Linked DNA regions of Xenopus tropicalis. The protein of the gene in region 1 purifies or fractionates together with the protein of each later gene. This does not show direct contact. Links are inferred from orthologs where the notes say so. Each region holds a gene or a part of one and is shown in the gene's direction. Other genes may lie near its edges.

What was found.
Region 2: the proteins of rnf111 (region 1) and smad2 purify together in Homo sapiens (affinity purification with western blotting, with the first as the bait; 3 studies listed by BioGRID). This does not show direct contact. The link is inferred for Xenopus tropicalis from reciprocal best matches to the Homo sapiens genes RNF111 and SMAD2.

The regions. Positions count from the first base shown.
Region 1 is NC_030679.2:99,185,583-99,189,238, forward strand, and holds part of rnf111 (E3 ubiquitin-protein ligase arkadia), read left to right. Parts: intron 1-1,791; coding exon 1,792-2,111; intron 2,112-2,553; coding exon 2,554-2,803; intron 2,804-3,656. UniProt on the Homo sapiens protein: E3 ubiquitin-protein ligase. Required for mesoderm patterning during embryonic development. Acts as an enhancer of the transcriptional responses of the SMAD2/SMAD3 effectors, which are activated downstream of BMP.
Region 2 is NC_030677.2:206,123,966-206,127,080, forward strand, and holds the end of smad2 (mothers against decapentaplegic homolog 2), read left to right. Parts: intron 1-266; coding exon 267-411; intron 412-987; coding exon 988-1,111; 3' UTR 1,112-2,582; downstream 2,583-3,115. UniProt on the Homo sapiens protein: Receptor-regulated SMAD (R-SMAD) that is an intracellular signal transducer and transcriptional modulator activated by TGF-beta (transforming growth factor) and activin type 1 receptor kinases.

The DNA.
Region 1 (3,656 bases):
AATATTGGAAATTGGAAAAGTTGCTGCTTAAGTTTTTATAATAGCAATTTGCATATACTCCAGAATGTTATGAAGAGTGATCAGATGAATTGCATAGTCCTTCTTTGCCATGAAAATTAACTTAATCCCAAAAAAACCTTTCCACTGCATTTCATTGCTGTCATTAAAGGACCTGCTGAGCTTATTTGAGTAATTGTCTTGTTAACTCAAGTGAGAATGTTGACGAGCACAAGGCTAGAGATCATTATGTCAGGCTGATTGGGTTAGAATGGCAGACTTGACATGTTAAAAGGAGGGTGATGCTTGAAATCATTGTTCTTCCATTGTTAACCATGGTGACCTGCAAAGAAACGCGTGCAGCCATCATTGTGTTGCATAAAAATGGCTTCACAGGCAAGGATATTGTGGCTACTATGATTGCACCTAAATCAACAATTTATAGGATCATCAAGAACTTCAAAGAAAGAGGTTCAATTCTTGTTAAGAAGGCTATAGGGCATCCAAGAAAGTCCAGCAAGTGCCAGGATCGTCTCCTAAAGAGGATTCAGCTGCGGGATCGGAGTGCCACCAGTGCTGAGATTGCTCAGGAATGGCAGCAGGCAGGTGTGAGCGCATCTGCACCACGCACAGTGAGGCAAAGACTTTTGGAAGATGGCCTGGTGTCAAGAAGGGCAGCAAAGAAGCCACTTCTCTCCAAAAAAAACATCAGGGACAGATTGATCTTCTGCAGAAAATATGGTGAATGGACTGCTGAGGACTGGGGCAAAGTCATATTCTCAGATGAAGCCGCTTTCCGATTGTTTGGGGCATCTGGAAAAAGGCTTTTCCGGAGAAGAAAAGGTGAGCGCTACCATCAGTCCTGTGTCATGCCAACAGTAAAGCATCCTGAGACCATTCATGTGTGGGGTTGCTTCTCATCCAAGGGAATGGGCTCACTCACAATTTTGCCCAAAAACACAGCCATGAATAAAGAATGGTACCAAAACACCCTCCAACAGCAACTTCTTCCAACAATCCAACAACAGTTTGGTGAAGAACAATGCATTTTCCAGCATGGTGGAGCACCGTGCCATAAGGGCAAAATGATAACTAAGTGGCTCGGGGACCAAAATGTTGAAATTTTGGGTCCATGGCCTGGAAACTCCCTAGATCTTAATCTCATTGAGAACTTGTGGTCAATCCTCAAGAGGCGGGTGGACAAACAAAAACCCACTAATTCTGACAAACTCCAAGAAGTGATTATGAAAGAATGGGTTGCTATCAGTCAGGATTTGGCCCAGAAGTTGATTGAGAGCATGCCCAGTCGAATTGCAGAGGTCCTGAAAAAGAAGGGCCAACACTGCAAATACTGATTCTTTGCATAAATGTCATGTACAGTAATTGTCGATAAAAGCCTTTGAAACGTATGAAGTGCTTGTAATTATATTTCAGTACATCACAGAAACAACTGAAACAAAGATCTAAAAGCAGTTTAGCAGCAAACTTTGTGAAAGCTAATACTTGTGTCATTCTCAAAACTTTTGCCCACGACTGTACATAGTATACATCTATGGGGGTTATTTCTTTTTCTCCTGGGTTATTTAAAATACCTAGTTATTAAAGAATAATTAGGAAGTAAGGTTGCTGTATACTTCCATAGGAGACCATATCCCAGATGTCCAGAGCTCATTTTTAAGTCATGCCTGCAAGGATGAGTGGCTGACATTATTAGTGTCATCTTTAAATGCTTCAGCTCTTCTTTTTTTTTTTTTTTTTTTTTTTTTTAATTAAAATTTTCTTAATTTCTCATAGATGATTCCAGAACTAGTACTTCTGGCACCAATGTAGATGGTGGCCCTCCAGCAATGCCACGTTTACCATCTTGCTGTCCCCAGCACTCGCCGTGTGGAGGATCCTCACAGAATCATGTCCTGGGACATCCCCATTCAAGCTGTTTCCCACCACACAGTCACCACTTTCCACACCACCATCATCATCACCATCAGAGTTCCCACCCAGGAGTTCCTTTGTCTCCTTCCTTCAGGGACTCGCACTGTCCTGTGGAAAGAAATGCTGCAGTGCCACCACCTTGTGGAGCAACTAGCAGCTCAGGATCCACCTATCATGATCCAGTAAGGTTGACTAAAATATGTATAGATTGTTGTTGGTGACCGAAAGCAAGCATTTAACCTATGCACCATAAATTGACTTACCAGTGTGCATAGACACCATGTCTCCTGCTCCTACAGGCAGGGCTTTGCTTTGAGAATGGGGCCCAGCTGCTGTTTGAATTGTAAGTTATGACTTCACAGCAGCCTTGTATCATAATTAAAAGAAGTCAAGTTTATTAAAGGGTAACTAAAGACCCTAATAAACTAACTAATAGCAAGCCTAATGGAAAAAAAACATATTTTAGCTACTCCTTGTGCAACATATGATTTGCTATTAATTGGGGCATTGTTACAGCACTGCAAACTTTAAGCACCACTTAAACATTTTCAGGGACCGTTCTTGGGTGTAAAGGATGCTAAAAAGTTGTCTGATATTTGGTACTTTTGTGTTTTTTTGTTACAGCAAGCCTTGCCTGTAGATTTGAGTAACAATGGCATAAGAAGCCACGGAAGTGTTAGTTTTCATAGTACATCTGCTTTTGATCCTTGCTGTCCTGGCTCTTCATCGCGATCAACAGTTTATGGACATCAGTCCACTACCAGCACTGCTCAGACCATGGCAATTGATGGTTATGGATCAAGTATGGTAGCGCAAGCACAGCCTCCTCCTCCAACTCCACTCTCTTCCTGCAGACATTACATGCATGCTCCTTGTAAGTAGTAGAGGTTCCATGCTTTAGGAGACTTTATGACCCATTCTTATAGTTACATGTCGAAGAAGGTATAATTTCTAGAAATCATTACATGCTGTGTATGAGCTGCCTGCAGGACAAGCTAAATAGTTACACCTTGATTTAAATGTTAGGTGGAAGGACTGCATTAAGCTTAAAGGAACACCAAAAATTAAAAGTATTTTAAAGTAATTAAAATGTACTGTCACCCTGCACTGGTAAAACTGGTGTGCTTAAGGAACACTACTGTAGTTTATATAAATAAGCTGCTGTGTAGCCATGGGGGCAGCCATTTAAGCTGGAAAAAAGGAGAAAAGACACAGGTTACATAGCAGATAACTGATTTAACACCATTGTATTTTGCAGAATGTTTCTGTTATCTGCTATGCAACCTGTGTCTTCTCCTTTTGAGTGGCTACCCCTATGGTTATACAGCAGAGTCTATGTAGAAACTATAGTAGTCTTTTTGAAGCAAACAACTTTTACTAGTGCAGGGCAACAGTATATTATAGTTTAATTACTTTGATACATTTTTATTTTTTGGTGTTACTGTTCCTTTAAGGAGGTGCTTGTTAGGTAATCATTGCACAGCCTTATTGTATGCTAAGTCTCTGAGCACTGTTAAGACAACGCATAACTTCTGTGCTCCTATGTCATAGTGCGAAATACAGAGCTGTGCAGTGTTTTTGGTGGCCACTATATTGGGCCATGTCTCTTTCATTTCCTGCCTTGATTTACATGATAATGTGGCAGGACCACAGTGTAACTTCCACTGTGCATGCACTTTGTTGCCAGAACAGAAGTGGCATGGATCAGTGTGGCAGATACCAACTAT
Region 2 (3,115 bases), on another chromosome or scaffold:
ACAGCGGAACAGTAGAAATAATGTGTTTGGTGTCTGTATTGTTGTAAACAATAATAACAAGTATACAGAATAGGATTTTTTTTGTGTTTATAAATTATTCCCCCAATAATTATGGGAAAAAGAGAGTACATTTTTATTCTATATCAAAATGCGCAGGGGGCAGTTCAATACCCCTCATGTTCACAGGAAGGTGTACTTCTGACCCCCTTTGGTTGGAATATTTTGAAATCGGAGTAATTGTGGCAATTCTACATTCTGTCTCACAGGATGCAATCTGAAGATTTTTAATAACCAAGAGTTTGCTGCTCTCCTCGCTCAGTCTGTGAATCAAGGCTTCGAAGCAGTTTATCAGTTAACTCGAATGTGCACCATAAGAATGAGCTTTGTAAAAGGCTGGGGTGCTGAATACAGGTAACTCTTCATTTATCAAGTGTATTTTTGGATGCATATTGATACACTATATGAGAAAATGCAGAGCAGAGACCTACTTACAGCTGCTGACCCAATCCTATCTGATCCCCCAATTGTAAGCAGCAGTCCTGCCCTGCTTTATGGCTGAGATTCTAGCTATCTGTATAACAGAGCATTCTGTCACAGTGGCACAGATCCTATCTGATCCCCCCATTGTAAGCAGCAGTCCTGCCCTGCTTTATGGCGGAGATTCTAGCTATCTGTATAACAGAGCATTCTGTCACAGTGGCACAGATCCTATCTGATCCCCCCATTGTAAGCAGCAGTCCTGCCCTGCTTTATGGCTGAGATTCTAGCTATCTGTATAACAGAGCATTCTGTCACAGTGGCACAGATCCTATCTGATCCCCCCCATTGTAAGCAGCAGTCCTGCCCTGCTTTATGGCTGAGATTCTAGCTATCTGTATAACAGAGCATTCTGTCACAGTGGCACATAATCAAGCATTACCATGCCTCATTGCTAATGTTTTCTGCCTTGTGTGCTCGTGCTTAACCCTCCTCTCTGTCTGTCTGTAGGCGGCAGACCGTTACAAGCACTCCATGTTGGATCGAGCTTCACCTGAACGGACCTTTGCAGTGGTTGGACAAAGTGTTGACACAGATGGGATCCCCTTCAGTGCGCTGCTCAAGCATGTCCTAATGGGCGCTTCTTTTATGTATTACCTGCGGGTGGCAACCGAAGTCCCAGCAACAGACTCAATACAGCTTGTCTGTCATAGTATTTGTGTGTGGTCCCCATGAACTGTTTACAATCCAAAAGAAAAAAAAACAAAAAAACAAAAACAAAAAGCGAAAACAGCACTTGAGGTCCCATCAACGTAAAGCACCTTGTCGGATTATGTTTCTGATACTCTTAAAGTAGCTGAAATATTAGTGTATAAATGACTCCTTACCAGGGACGGGACTCTTTTAAAAAAAAAAGGACATTTAACAGTGTATTATTGGGCAAAGAGTTGAGTGTCGGGATAAACAATAAACACAAGTAGTCCCTATGTACATGTCCTGTATATTGTTCTCCAGTTACTGTGCAGTTATGCCTTTTAGTTGCAGCAGATAGCGTGCCTGCTTCCCCTCATTTTACTCCTGTCACAATCAAAACACATTGCGTTTTGCCATTATTATTATTATTATTATTGCCCTCTTATATTTGTATTTTTTTTTTTCCTTTTTTGACTACTTGCTATTTTTATAAGTTGTTCTAATGAATCTGCTGTCGCTCCTCTCCCCTTGCGTATTTTCCAAAGCAGCCGCGAACATATCACCCCCGAATTGGCGTTCTCTGGTAAACCAACCGGTGATCGAGTAGCCGAACGTATTTTTATTCACCCCCCCCCCCCCCGGACCCAGCAGTCGTTCATGGTATTGGGTCGATCACGGTTTGTACCAGTTGGCAAGCCAAGCACCGGAGCCTTTGGGCTTGGAAGTGTAACCAGCAGAGGAGGGGTTATTTTTTTATTTTTAATTGTTTTTTTTTTAAGTGCATGTTATTGTAAACCCTTGGACACTACATTTGGACCCTATACAATATTTAGAATTCTATTCTATGGATGTCTGAGGATAGGGAAAGGGTTGGGCAGAGGCGGTTTAGAAAGGGTACTCTGGCTTTAATATGTACATCTTACTAACCATTTTGTTCTCTTGCTGTCTGTCAGATCTTTCTCGTTGGGGCAGTATTTGCCTTCTCTCTCCCCCTCTTACCCCCACAGCTATCCCCCTTTTTACACTAGTAGTGTACTTTGTGAGTACAGCTAGTGACTGCTCCTTGGCTTTCTGAACAAACCTCAATAAACCAATAAAACAAAAAACCAAAAGCGGCCAGTGTTAGGATGTCTCGTCATTCAGCGAAATCTCGGAGAGCGGGCATCTCTTTAATTGTATGCTGTATCGTTTAGAACATAGAGGCAGTTCCACAACTGTGTGTCGGAAAGGTAAGCAGTAGGCCAAACCATTGCAAAACAAAAAAAACGTAATTGGCAAAAGCATTTACCGTTTGTGAACTAGTTTTACCAGTAGGCTTGTGTATTGGTAGAACTTGTGAACTAAAGACATAAGCTTTGTGCGTGTTGCATTTGCCGAATATGTGAATACACTAATAAAAGATTTAATTCTCACTGTGGCGTCGCTTCTTTTGGCCTCTGTAGGACCCCCCCCATTTTGACTTATATTTTAGTATGATGTAGTGCAGTGATCCCCAACCAGTGGCTCAGGGGCAACATGTTGCTCCCCAACCCCTTGGGTGTTGCTCTCAGTGCCCCCAAACCAGGGAGTTATTTTTGAATTCCTGACTTGGGGGCAAGTTTTGGTTGAATAAAAACAAGATTTCCTACCAAATAAAGCCCCCTGTAAGCTGATAGGGTGCATAGAGGCCCCTAATAGCCAATCACAGCCCTTATTTGGCTCCTCCATGAACTTTTATGGTGCTTGTGTTGCTCCCCAAGTCTTTTTACATTTGATTGTGGCTCACGAGTAAGAAAGGTTGGGGACTCCTGATGTAGGGAGTAATATACTACGACAATTTGCAGTTGGTCTTCATGATTATTTGTGTTTTTTTTAATTACTTGTTCAGCAGCTCTCCAGTTTGGAATATCAGCAGTTGTCTGGTTGCTAGGGTTTAATTTTGCCTTAGTAACCTGCAAGTGGTTTG